Linked DNA regions of Mytilus edulis. The protein of the gene in region 1 purifies or fractionates together with the protein of each later gene. This does not show direct contact. Links are inferred from orthologs where the notes say so. Each region holds a gene or a part of one and is shown in the gene's direction. Other genes may lie near its edges.

Evidence for each region.
Region 2: the proteins of bone morphogenetic protein receptor type-1B-like (region 1) and mothers against decapentaplegic homolog 1-like purify together in Drosophila melanogaster (affinity purification with western blotting; 3 studies listed by BioGRID). This does not show direct contact. The link is inferred for Mytilus edulis from reciprocal best matches to the Drosophila melanogaster genes tkv and Mad.

What each region holds. Positions count from the first base shown.
Region 1 is NC_092352.1:12,172,035-12,179,735, forward strand, and holds the start of bone morphogenetic protein receptor type-1B-like, read left to right. Parts: upstream 1-4,591; 5' UTR 4,592-4,628; coding exon 4,629-4,701; intron 4,702-7,701. Other genes in the region: uncharacterized protein, read right to left, coding at 339-422, 1,118-1,333, 1,960-2,228, 3,262-3,449.
Region 2 is NC_092351.1:44,919,765-44,927,220, reverse strand, and holds the start of mothers against decapentaplegic homolog 1-like, read left to right. Parts: upstream 1-4,270; 5' UTR 4,271-4,443; exon of another isoform or gene 4,444-4,451; intron 4,452-7,456. Other genes in the region: glutathione S-transferase C-terminal domain-containing protein-like, read right to left, coding at 1,487-1,837.

The sequences.
Region 1 (7,701 bases):
ATATTTTCTTCCAATCTTTTATGCAATGGATCAGTCTTAAATTGAATATATACCTCATACTATATTTTTTTATTTAAATGTTTTGTCCCTCTTACAAAAATCAATTCTACCAATGAAATTTATCAATTGCATTTTAACGGTTGATATTCTTAAGCTTAATTCATTAAAACATAAAATCCCAGTATTGCATTTGTCAGGTCAAAACCTCTAACTGGGGAGATCTCCTGTAAGTCCAATAATTGGGCAGGTCAGCATTCTGAACAAATAAATAAAATACAATAAGGATACAAACACTATTTACATCCTTTGATAAAAAGCATATTGCTATCATTATATACCTTATTACCACCATGTATATGTGGATTGTCACAAACCCATGCCACACAGTCCACAACATCTTGTATCATATCATCCACATAGCCCTACAAAAACAATTATTGTTTATCAATGGAATCAATCTCATATTATATAGTACAAACTAGGTCAGACTTTTTTCACTTCTTGTATTTCTATAATTTGTCCATTGTATTACAAAAACCTACGGTATAAAAACTCAATAAAATAAGATTTTAAAATAAGTTTTAGTACATGTTTTAGTACATGTACTGGTATAAATACAATCTGTAAATTATTTGGTTATTGTTGAATATGTATGCATGTATCATTAACATTGTGTTCACATTACAATTTCTTAGGAAATGATGTAATGTGTAAATTTCATTGTAGGGGTATTTTCTCTTACTTTTGTGATCACATTAACTGCAAAAAATAGTTGAATCCAAAAAGATATTCATGGAATGTTAGGATGATACAAGTCATTTCTTCCATATATTATGTTTTGAAACATAATAAAAAAAGCTAACATGTAGGTCATTTTGAACAGCTGCTCAAATGCAGTTTAAACCACAAGAAGGTTTAAAAAATACAAAATATAGTACATAGACCAAACTGTAGTTGTTTATGAAAGAGTTACAATGAATGACCAAAGATCAATTGGAGTAAATGTTGTCATTCAACAATCATTTCTTACTATGACTTAATAATTTATACATAAGTTTTGTGACATAGGAATTGTACAGGAAAATGTATGAATTTGAATTTAAAGTCAACAACCAACCTTTGGATAAATTGATAAATTAGGACAACACACTACTGCTTTTAGTCTATTGGCAATCTCTACACAAAGTGGACCATACATGGTCTTTTCTCCAGAAGACCAGGCCCCTCCATACACAAACACTACTACTGGCATTGACATATCACCACCATCCTTTCGTGGAATGTTAGGATGATACAAGTCTAGCGTACAATCATTTCTCCCATATGGTATGTTCTAAAATAAAACAACAAAAGCTAAAATATAACAAGCTTACATATAAGTCCCTTTTACCAGCAGTTTAATTGTTCTTTAAAACAGAATTTATTTGTAAATATACAATACAATACATTATCTTTAAAAAGTAAGTTTATACTCCTCATAGCCAGACAAAATGTGCACACTATATGCCTCTCTGACTGTGAAGAACAAATCCTGAATGTTACATTGACATTGACTACTCATATTTTTTACAATGATTTACAAAGCACTGACTTCCCTCTGACATTAAATAACAAAGCACAGGTTCTTTACCTTTCTGACAGTGATAGACAAGGCAATGGCCATTTGAAAGTACAATTCTGGCAGTTAGGTTTACCTTTATGACAGTGAAAGACAAGGCAATGGCCATTTGAAAGTACAATTCTGGCAGTTAGGTTTACCTTTAAGACAGTGAAAGACAAGGCAATGGCCATTTGAAGGTACAAATCTGGCAGTTAGGTTCTTTACCTTTCTGACAGTGAAAGACAAGCAATGCCCATTTGAAGGTACAAATCTGGCAGTTAGGTTTACCTTTCTGACAGTGAAAGACAAGGCAATGGCCATTTGAAGGTACAAATCTGGCAGTTAGGTTCTTTATTTACCTTCCTCACAGTAAATGGATCTAGGTTGTTGTAGAGTTTCTTCCATTTCAGGTAGGAAGATGCATATTTCAAGGTAGTATATAACTTTTGTAGTACGGCAAAATTAAAAGCATAAACTTTTTTTGGACTAAATGCTCTACGATATTTGTTCTTTGTATTAGGCCAACCATACAGTAGACTTCCAAGCAATGACGTTGTGTAGGGTATTACCACTGCTGTAGATGTCACAAGCAGGACTGTCTGTACTATTTGCTTAAGCATTGCTATTGCTACAAAATAAAAGACAATGTAAAAAAATCATGCAATCATGGATTTAAGACTGATTCTACTTCTATTTTTGTTTCATGCCCAAAAATCTCCAAGTTTCAGTGAACTATCTGAATCTAACAATTCTTTTCTTACAGATGAAAAATATCAGACAGAACAATTTTATACACAAAAAAACAATTATTATAATTATATGTATAATGATTCCTTTTAAAATCTACAATTGTATATAAGCCTTAACTTGGACAAATAAAATAAACAGAACATAACTCCACAGTGCACAGTTCAGATTGAATCTGTAATTTAGTTTTGTTGGGAAAATAAGTGAAAATGTTCATACTCCTACTAGTACTTAATCTATTATCTGCTCATAGGGGTCTCAATGGGGCGTTCTGATCCCGGATCCTGCTTACTGTTTTGTCAGATTCCCGTATCCTGCTAACACTATGTACGTAAGCAATTCTCATTTTTTTGCCATTTCCCGGGTCCTGCTAGACCTCATTTCCGGTTTTAACGACACAATAATTTGACTTTCACGTGTCCCGCTTACAAAAAATCAGCAATCCCGAGTCACGCTTAGACCCCAATGAGACCTATCTCATAATCTAATGAAAATTTACTACTGGTGTTTAAAACAAAATCAAAGATCTTTCATCATATAATTATAGAGTCGCTGCCAAAATCATGTGTTATGGTGTCTACAAAATGTTTTCTTTCATGCAGCAAGTGATCCTGAACTTATCAAATGGGACCTATCCTCTCCTAATAAAGATGAAGATTAAATAAACTGATAAGTATTAACCTCTCTCATGAAATGCCTTGAGTAGAGGGTTTACAGAAGCTGAGCTTATGCACAACTCTATAAACCTATTTTGAATAAAAGATTGTATAAACTATAAAGTGCCTACAAAATATATTATAATGCATTCAGGTGACTTCCAATGTGTAAGCTTTACATTGAGAATGGTTTATCCTTTCCTCATGATAAATCATTGTAGCATTAAGTGAAGGTGGATGTAAGTGTAAATTACTCACTATCCAAATATTGTTGATGTAAACAAAGTTCTATACAATCATCCCCTTCCAAACAATCATCATGTACAAACCAGTAAAGGCAGTTAAATATGTTTTGGATCTGAAATTTAAAATTCATATAGTTATAATGGTCATATAAACTACACTTAATTACCATTTTCCTTTTATTTTTATTGTTTACAGCTTTTCTATACTCTAGATTTTGCCAAAAATGCCAACTTAGATGCATGATTTTTTTTTTATTAGTTGTTAGTGGCTTTGAACTAGCTGTCAGTAACTGTGAGTTTTCTCTGATCTCAAGTGTCTTTTTGTTGATAACATCTTGAATATGTTGTACCAAGATTGCTTTAAGAAGTGATTTTTTAGTATTTTAATCTTTTAACGTGGGAAATTTTGATAAAGTAAAACAGTGAGCTATGAATTACTCATGATACCCAAGCTATCAAGTAATTGATAAAAAGAAAAATTGAAGAGCAATAGATATGCATATTACCACAAGGCATTGCATGTATTCATGAAGTTTGAAAATGAATTTATCAATATTTGTAGATCCCTGGAAAAAATGCAACTAAAACTTCATACACAGCCATTAATATGTGTGAAGCTCCTTTTTCGTTGTCTCAAGAACTAAAAGACATTTAGAAGTCTTCAACAATAGGCAGGTCCCTTAAACTATAGTTAAGTTCTAAATCCACCCAAGTCTATAAAAATGTTCATTTTAGTTCAATTAAATCAATATGATGCAATTGCTTCAGAGGTTAATTGGTGCTTCATATGCTCCTTTTTGGTGTGATAAGATACGCTTTAAATCATATGCTTTTGAATGTTTTTCTTGCATAAAATGTCGATAAGAAACTAAAGGAAAAAATAAGATATTATTCTTCTTCCATATATACTACCCACATCTAACCCTTCCCTCACCTCACACCTGGGACAGTGGTGTGACAGTACAGCAAAATAACATAATGTATGATGTCACACCAAATAATTTAGGAATGACTTTGCCTGTGATATTGTTAATGTGGGGGACTTTTATTAGTATTAGGGGTATAGACTTATTAGCCCTAATCACCCTTGCTACTATTTATGATATAACTCAGTTGAGGGATAAGTTGTCCACCTTAAATTTACCTTTGGGCTTTGGATGGTTGTCTCCAAACTGATAATGACATAAAATATTTAAGATATGTTATGTTCTATTTAAAGAGAATCGAATAATATTTCGTTATAGCGGAATACCGAAATATGAGGAGCTGTCACACATTATTTTTACCACAAATTGCTATATTCTGAAGTGCTTTGAAAAGCAGACAACTTTGAAACCGGAAGCGGAAACCACTGTGTAAAGGTGAAGGACAAAAGGGGATATGGCGACGACCAGTCGCATACTTTTCCTTTCATTGTTTATTTCAACTTTTTCCCTATTTTTCATTGAACAAGGTAATTAATATCAATTGATCTTTTTTTCATATGTTAGTTTTTTAGAATGGCCACTGCCTACAGGAAAATACTACTTTAATTTATTTTAATAAGCGGTTTCTTCAATATTTACACACAAAAATTGTCAAAAATACTGAACTCAAATACACACTTTGACACAGGAAGAGCACGCCCCCTAAAAAGGAAATGAAGTAAAGGCAAGGATTTATATGCTGTATACATTCTTAGATAAGATATTATTCAAATGTATATTCTTAATGAAAATTTGAAGCAGTTAAATGATATTATTTTCATGATATCTTTTTATATTTATAAACAAATAATTTAAACTTCATCAAATTCATCTGATTCAAGCAATAAACATGATAAAGCATCACATAACTGTGAATGTGTGTTGCTAAAAAGTTCTAGGGGACACACCATAAAGCCTGCATGTATTGATATTTACCTGCATTTGTTATCAGAAATGTGTGATGTAAACAAATGAATTTAATATATTTCATAGATAATAAATTTAATCGGACCACAGATAAATTATCACGTTGTGATTGGGTAAACACCGTCATGTAGTGACCCCCTATGAGACTGTAGGGGGTTAGTAAGTTTCATAGGGGGTTCATGACGCGTTAATGGTGACGTAATCTATTGCTATTGTTGTGTTTCATTGTTTATTTTTAGAAAAATTCCAGCGTCCGATAAATTCGTTATACGGTTAACTACTGACCCCCTACGGATCCATAGAGGGTGAATAAAATTCATAGGGGATTCGGCATCCGGCCTCACCCCCTATGGATTTTACTTACCCTCTTTTGATCTGTATGGGGTCAGTAGCCAACCATATAACTTATAAGGGCAAAGATAAAAGGCCTGATCTGAGATAAAAAAAAAAAAAAAGTTCGCCCAGGAATAATTTAGAATTATTTTCCAATTGAAGATAATATGGCTAAAACTGATTATAACATAAGGTTTCTGTTTTTATACGACCGCAACAATTTTTATTTTTTGGTCGTATATTGCTATCACGTTGGCGTCGTCGTCCGAATACTTTTAGTTTTCATACTCTAACTTTAGTAAAAGTGAATAGAAATCAATGAAATTTTAACACAAGGTTTAAACCCACTAAAGGAAGGTTGGGATTGATTTTGGGAGTTTTGGTCCCAACATTTTAGGAATTAGGGGCCAAAAAGGGCCCAAATAAGCATTTTCTTGGTTTTCACACCATAACTTTAGTATAAGTAAATAGAAATCTATGAAATTTAAACACAAGGTTTATGACCACAAAAGGAAGGTTGGGATTGATTTTGGAAGTTGAGGTCACAACAGTTTAGGAATTAGGGGCCAAAAAGGGGCCCAAATAAGCATTATTTTTGGTTTTCGCACCATATCTTTAGTATAAGTAAATAGAAATCTATGAAATTTAAACACAAGGTTTATGACCATAAAAGGAAGGTTAGGTTTGATTTTGGGAGTTTTGGTTCCAACAGTTTAGGAATTAGGGGCCCAAAGGGTCCAAAATTGAACTTTGTTTGATTTCATCAAAAATTGAATAATTGGGGTTCTTTGATATGCCGAATCTAACTATGTATGTAGATTCTTAATTTTTGGTCCCGTTTTCAAATTGGTCTACATTAAGGTCCAAAGGGTCCAAAATTAAACTTAGTTTGATTTTAACAAAAATTGAATCATTTGGGTTCTTTGATATGCTGAATCTAAAAATGTACTTAGATTTTTAATTATTGGCCCAGTTTTCAAGTTGGTCCAAATGGGGGTCCAAAATTAAACTTTGTTTGATTTCATCAAACATTGAATAAATGGGGTTCTTTGATATGCCAAATCTAACTGTGTATGTAGATTCTTAATTTTTGGTCCAGTTGTCAAATTGGTCTACCGTAAGGTAAGGTCCAAAGGGTCCAAAATTAAACTAAGTTTGATTTTAACAAAAATTAAATTCTTGGGCTTCTTTGATATGCTGAATCTAAAAATGTACTTAGATTTTTAATTATTGGCCCAGTTTTCAAGTTGGTCCAAATGGGGGTCCAAAATTAAACTTTGTTTGATTTCATCAAACATTGAATAAATGGGGTTCTTTGATATGCCAAATCTAACTGTGTATGTAGATTCTTAATTTTTGGTCCAGTTGTCAAATTGGTCTACCGTAAGGTCCAAAGGGTCCAAAATTAAACTAAGTTTGATTTTAACAAAAATTAAATTCTTGGGCTTCTTTGATATGCTTTATCTAAACATGTACTTTGATTTTTGATTATGGGCCCAGTTTTCAAGTTCAAGTCCAAATCAGGATTCAGTATTATCATATCAAGTATTGTGCAATAGCAAGAAATTTTCAATTGCACAGTATTGCACAATAGCAAGAAATATCTAATTGCACAATATTGTGCAATAGCAATTAATTTTCAATTGGAGTTATCGTTCTTTGTATAGAATAGTAGTTGAATTAACTTTAATCATTGTTTTATACAATATACAATGTATTTTCATTTTTACTACCAACTGATAAATTAAAATAATCTTTACCATTCAGTGATAACAAGCACTTTTTATTACATTTTAATATTGTATGATGTATTTAAATGAGCAGTTATTGTTGCAAACTTCATCAGAAATTTGAATTGATCAGTTTTAAATATTTGATTCACTTATAAAATTGGTCCACATTGAGGCCTACAAAGTTTAAAATTAAACATTACTTGATTTCATCAAAAAATTAATTTTTAGAATTCTATAATATCCTGAATATAATCATGTATCTATATTTTGGATATTTACCATAATAGTTTAATATCCAATTTAAAAATTTTAAATTCTAATTTTAATTTCTTAAACCAAATTCATAATGTGACATAAACCTATGTTGTGTCAACTATTTAATCACAATCCACATTTATAGCTGTATCAAACTTAAAAGTTGTGTCCATACTTGTCCCATCTATTCAGGGTTCTACAATGTACATCTGCGGTCGTATAATGCTGCGCCCTGCGAAG
Region 2 (7,456 bases), on another chromosome or scaffold:
CAAGTTTAAATAATAGCCTGTTACTAGCAAAAAACCAAATACATTCTAAATAATTCATTTCTTATATCATTTTACAAAAAGCTTCAAACATTTATGTTCATTAATATTCAGTTTCTATATTTATGCATTTTGGAACCTTGTTATCTTTTCAAAAGTATTTGACCTTGATGGTACTCTTGGACCAGTGTCGTTGCATAAGGTCAAAAGCATGTTGGTTAATTCAAGCAACACGTTTACTTAAGGAGCAACTACAAATGTATCAAATTCTAGACCAAAATTAATTTAAAGATATAGATTTTCATCATTGAAATTCACAATTTGCCATTTCAGAATCTATTGAAGGATTAGAGGTATTTTAAATGATCATTGCTTGTTACAAGTAAACAAGTATTTTTTTTTTGTAATGATAATTATATAATAACCATTTAACTAATGTTAAACTTTTGTTCCTTCATGAACCCCCAAAAGCAATAGGAGAGCTATTAAAATAGGAAACTTATATATCTAATCATCTCAAAAATATCAAGGAAACTAATATATTTAATAATCTCAAAAATATTTAGGAAACTAATATATTGAATCATCTCAAAAAATAAATATATCATTTTTCCTCTCAATCATTAAAATCAGAGAAAAATCTAACATATCTAATTCTGCATCAATAAGTTACAATGTAAATAAATAAAAAGGTATATATTGTCTGCAAGCATTATCAAGAAAGTATGCATTATATTTACATTATATTTACATTGTTTACATCTAATGGTCAAATCATTAAAATCAGATCCTTGAAAAAGACTTATTATGAAATATAATCACTTTTGAAAGCTTATCCAAAGTGGATTTACTTATATGAATCACCTTTTTTCTAATTAAATTACAATGTAACTATATAACAATGACAGGAAATACTTATCAATTCATACCATGTGTCGAAAAATTGGCTCTCAGTGGAAAACTTACAGAATTATAATTGGCTTATTCTACTTGAAATGTTAAAGCATTATATGTAATGAAGAATAATTTCATAGCTCAGCTTTAATAAAATTCATATTCTAAAGAATAACATGTAACTATTAAGTAAAATTATAAATTGCCTTTGCGCAGAAAGTTAAATCAATTGTTAACTGTTCTAACTAACTAATTGAATAGAATAATATCCTAACTTGAATTTAAAAAAAACAACTAAAATTACAAAATCGTGAAGAGATTTCATGCTTGGCCTTGAGGTACAAGTCCAAAAATGATCAAAGCATATAAATTGACTATTATCATAACTCAAAATTTACCAACTGAAATAAAGAATTTATTATAATGAGATAAAAATAAGAAAAATTTCAAACATTTACAAATGGCTAAAATTTCTGAGTACATAAAAAAATCTCAAGTTTTTATCAAAATATAATTATTATAATAGTTCTAATTTCTATTTTATTTTCATTGTCAAAAAGAGAATTTAGCTATGGACATGATAAAGAAGCCATACCAAAAGATCGTCTAGATGCTCTTGCGGTCTGTCAATATGTGCCTGTGACACAATGTATCTTATGGTTCCACATAACCCTGATCTGACCCAAATATCATCTGTCTGTCGTATAACTGGAAGCAAACAGTCTTGTTCATCATCAATGTCAAACACATGTTCTGTTTTATCTAAGGTATCACGACTGATTTTAAAACAATTAGCTTCATCCAAATTTGTCCTTGTAAATTTTAAACTAAATGATTCCGGGCTGCAGTATTGAACAACAAACAGAAGGGCTGCAGATGACAGTGGAACTAAAATTGTTTCATCATCTATTGCTTTTCCTTCAAGATATATTATATTAGAAGCCATATTCTATCTAGTACATTGTAATCTTCAGTCAAAATCTGCAATATAAAAGAGAACTTATTACCCATAATACATGAACTCAATCCATTGTTTTAATTATTATATTATCAATACATTTTTATTATTTGTAATAATAATGAAAACTTAAATAAATCTTCCAAATTTTTATGGCTTTTGACCCAAGAAATCTTAACTCTTATGAAAAAAATTTATAAAGGTTCTGAAGAACCCAGTGTTTCCCCTAATTTTGGTGTTAATCGCAGGCTCAACAAAATTCAGGGGGGGGGGGGGGGGGGGGAATTCTAAATATTCCTCGATACTATCTTTTGATAGTAAGAAGCTTCTGTCCAAATTTGGTAAAAATCCAGGATAGTTTATGAATCTAATAAATGTTTAATAAACTTAACTGCAGACTGTATGTAATGTTAACTGGAAGAAAAACCAATTCCGTTTATAAGTAAAATACAGAAAAACAGGAACAAAATTTCAACAAAATTTCAATCTTTATATATACTTTATATATACTAGCTTTTGATCATAAACAAGGTTCTGTCAAAGTTTGGTTGAATTCCAGGATAGTTTAAGAAAGGTATTAAAATTTTAAAAACTTTAACCACAGAGTAAATGTTATGTTTCCTGGCACAAAAACTAAGTCCATTTATATAAGAAAAATAACAAAAAAATCAGGAAATTTTACTTCTGGATTCTATCGTTTGATCATAAACAAGCTTCTGTCCACATTTGATAGAAATCCAGGATAGTTTAAGAAAGTTATTCAAATATCATAAACTTTAACCACAGAGTGAATATTTGTGGACAACGCTGACGACTACAACAATGACGATGGAATGTATGATTGCTTTGTCTCACTTTTTCAAATAAAGGACTACTACTAACATGACTAAATAGAGTTTAATGGCGACTACCCTTGCGGGTATTGCGCCAGATTACCTTATATAAAAACATTTCAAGTAAATGTTTTAGAATTATCATTATTTAGGTATAAGCCTATATTATATATTATCATTATTTAGGTATAAGCCTATATTATATATTCATATAATAAAGGAGATCAGGTATAAATCATCTTATATTGACACTAAGTCTAGTAGATAATTTGAGAGTGAATGCATATAATGTATCTGTAATCCTTAATTCACAATATATATTGTTGTTGTAATTCTGACCAAAGCTTGTTGTAATTACCTGATTACCAATGATGTCAATCAATAGACCACTTTCGAGTTCATCCGTCACCGGAAAAACTCGTGAATTATACGCGCTTTTATCACCGTCATTTGTGCGTTTCGGGGCGTCGTCACTTCCCTTCCAATGTTGAGCGAGTGGTTGGAAAACTATAGTTCTATATTATACGAATTATTCGGCAAATTGAATTCTCAAAATTGACAATCAACACTGCTGTCGTTAGGGAATTGTCAGTAAGTACCTACAGAGCAACCATTATTTCTAGTTTATCCTGCACAAAGACGATCCTTAAGACGCTTGATGAACGTAAATAGTGCAGGGATACAGGCGACCCCCTCTATCTGGTAAATGACGTCATAAAGGCGTGCATAATTGACGAGTTTTTGCCGGTGACGGATGAACTCGAAAGTGGTCTATTGTAACTGATTTTATGCCCTTCATGGGCCCTGTAATTTGACACTCTATAGTCAAATAATACAAAAAAATATACAAATAAAAAATCCAATTCCAAAGCAGCATGCACAGCATAACTGTATAACCTTTCATTTTCAAGATCTTAGACCAAAGATTTGTATATTAACTATACAAATCCTTGCTTAGACTTAGATCAGACTATTTGGTGCCCTATTAGATTTTTTTTATTACATCCGTTATAAGTTATCTAAATATTATGTAGGGATACCATGATGCGAAGATCTTTTGGTTCAAAGTTTTATTATACCTCATGAAATTATACCTTATTTTGTCCGACACAAATCCACGTGCAAATCTTTGTTTATCTTTTAAAAAGGGGAATCCCTGAAAGGGGAGGTAAGAACAAAACACGGGAAACAACTGTGAACTTACTACAAACAGAAACAGGTAAATTTGGCAGTGTGAATATTTATAAACTAACTTTTATTTTCTACAATTGGCGTTGTGTTTTTCTGACCTACTACAGTGCTATGGGTGCATTTTATCGGCACTGGATTGAATTTATTAGAAGCCGTCAACCTGTCGCCAGTGCCCCCTATTCACAAATCTTATTTAGAAACTATCCGCCTGAAAATGAGTTCGGCAGTAAAAGTATCTTTCCCGGTAAAACTTTTGAAACAAAGTCAAGTTTGGTACACTTTTTGTTGATGGTATATACCGGTTTAAGTATTTGAAAAATATTTAACGTAATATCAAAAGTATTGTTTTCTTAAAATTACGGGAAATGAGAGGTTACTTCCGGATGAGCATTAATTCAAAGGATTGTATTTGAGTGATTCGGCTCTCAGTCATTCTGTCGCCATACACAGTACAGTGGAAATTTGTATGCAATTATCTCAACACACTTCCAAATTGATCGATTAATTAATGACCAATAATTAACTGAAGGCGTTAATTGTTGATTGGCTGGACAGCGAACACATCAAAAGGTAGAAATGTAATTATCTTAACGTTTGTGAATGTGTCAACACAGTTTGTCTAGCTCCACACGTTGTCCAAAATAAGAATTACATTTCATTTGTATTGAAATAATAATTTAAACAAACTTTATAGAGTCGTTATATAACATCTAAAAGAGATTCTGTACACTTGTCGGTGTTTCTTGTTCATTAGATGAATGACAAGTTCTTCAGTTTCCAAAAATAAGGGAACTATAGGGCCTGTTTGAGACCTTTGACTTTGTTTATTGTTTGCTTTCTTCTTTACCAGGCCATTTTTCACTTATTGCAATACACACTTTTGATTTGTTTTGTTTAATATGTGATATTCCTTTACAACGAAAAAGCATAAGGTCTGGAACAGTACTGAAAGTGAAAGACAGATGCAGAAGTGTTTGATTTTTTTTTTGGCATACATTTTTTTAGCTGTTAAGTAAAAGAAATATCATCGGCGGATCCATGGGAAAAATTTGGTTGATTATATAGGGAATCATTGAAGCATGACTGGAGCGGTCCCCCCTTAGGAAAATTTCTGGATCCGCCACTGAATATATGGATTTTAGTTGGTATGATGTGTTGACACCTAGAAATATACCTCATGTAATTTCCATAAATGATGTATTTTATATGTCTCTTGTGATCTATGTTAAATATATATGTGATGTGATCTTGTTGAAGAACTACATGTACTTAAAAAACAAAATAACATGTATCGATAAAATTGTAAATAAAAATTTATTTATATAAAAACTGAATAATGCAAAAACACATAATAGACCTTATCCCTGTTTCGGATCTGTAGCACTTGACCCAAGAATCTGCCACAATGGCACCATTTTAGTCACCTAAGTCATATAAGTTTTAACTTGAATATTGCAAAAGCTATAAATGCATACAATAATCATGATAATCATTTACTTAATGTACGTTGTGGTGTCAGACATTTTTATACAACCGCAAAAATTGAAAATTTTTTGGTTGTATATTGGTATCACGTTGGCGTCGTCGTCCGAAGACATTTGGTTTTCACACTCTAACTTTAGTATAAGTAATTAGAAATCTATGAAATTCAAACACAAGGTTTATGACCATAAAAGGAAGGTCAGGGTTGATTTTGGGTGTTTTGGTCCCAACAGTATACGAATTAGGGGCCAACAAGGGCCCAAAAAAGCATTGTTCTTGGTTTTCGCACAATAACTTTAGCATAAGTAAACAGTGAGTGAGAAATCTATGAAATTTTAAAATAAGATTTATGACCACGAAAGTAAGGTTGGAATGATTTTGGGAGTTTAAGTCCCAACAGTTTAGGAATTAGGGGCCAAAAACAGGTCCCAAAATAAGCAATTTTCTTGGTTTTTGCACAAAAACTTTAGTAAAAGTTTATAGAAATCTATGAAATTTTAACACAAAGGTTTATGACAACAAAAGGTAGGTTGGTATTGATTTTGGGAGTTTTGGTCCCAACGAATTAGGGGCAAAAAGGGTCAAAAATTAAACTTTGTTTGATTTCATCTAATATTGAACTATTGGGGTTCTTTGATATACCAAATCTAACCGTGTATTTAGATTCTTAATTTTTGGTCCCGTTTTCAAATTGGTCTACATTAAGGGTCCAAAATTAAACTTAGTTTGATTTTAACAAAAATTGAATTTTTGGGGTTCTTTGATATGCTGAATCTAAACATGTACTTAGTTTTTTTTATAATTATGGTCCCAGTTTTCAAGTTAGTCCAAATCATGGTCCAAAATTAAACTTTGTTTGATTTCAACAAAAATTCAATATGGGGTTCTTCAATATGCTGAATCTAACCATGTAATTAGATTTTTAGCTCACCTGGCCCAAAGGGCCAAGTGAGCTTTTCCCATCACTTGGCGTCCGTCGTCCGTCGTCTGTCGTCCGTCGTCTGGCGTCGTTAACTTTTACAAAAATCTTCTCCTCTGAAACTACTGGGCCAAATTACACCAAACTTGGCCAAAATCATCATTGGGGTATCTAGTTTAAAAAATGTGTCCGGTGACCCGGCCAACCATCCAAGATGGCCGCCATGGCTAAAAATAGAACATAGGGGTAAAATGCAGTTTTTGGCTTATAACTCAAAAACCAAAGCATTTAGAGCAAATCTGACATGGGGTAAACTTGTGTAACAGGTCAAGATCTACCTGCCCTGAAATTTTCAGATGAATCGGATAACCCGTTGTTGGGTTGCTGCCCCTGAATTAGTAATTTTAAGGAAATTTTGCTGTTTTTGGTTATTATCTTGAATATTATTATAGATAGAGATAAACAGTAAACAGCAATAATGTTCAGCAAAGTAAGATTTACAAATAAGTCAACATGACCGAAATGATCAGTTGACCCCTTTAGGAGTTATTGCCCTTTATAGTCAATTTTTAACCATTTTTCGTAAATCTTAATAATCTTTTACAAAAATCTTCTCCTCTGAAACTACTGGGCCAAATTTATCCAAACTTGGCCACAATTATCTTTGGGGTATCTAGTTTAAAAAATGTGTCCGGTGACCCGGCCAACCAACCAAGATGGCCGCCACGGCTAAAAATAGAACATAGGGGTAAAATGCAGTTTTTGGCTTATAACTTAAAAACCAAAGCATTTAGAGCAAATCTGACATTTGGTAAAATTGTTTATCAGGTCAAGATCTATCTACCCTGAAATTTTCAGATGAATCTGACAACCTGTTGTTGGGTTGCTGCCCCTGAATTGGTAATTTTAAGGAAATTTTGCTGTTTTTGGTTATTATCTTGTATATTATTATAGATAGAGATAAACTGTAAACAGCCATTATGTTCAGCAAAGTAAGATTTACAAATAAGTCAACATGACCGAAATGGTCAGTTGACCCCTTTAGGAGTTATTGCCCTTTATAGTCAATTTTTAACCATTTTTCGTAAATTTTAGTAATCTTATACAAAAATCTTCTCCTCTGAAACTACTGGGCCAAATTAATCCAAACTTATTCACAATCATCTTTGGGGTATCTAGTTT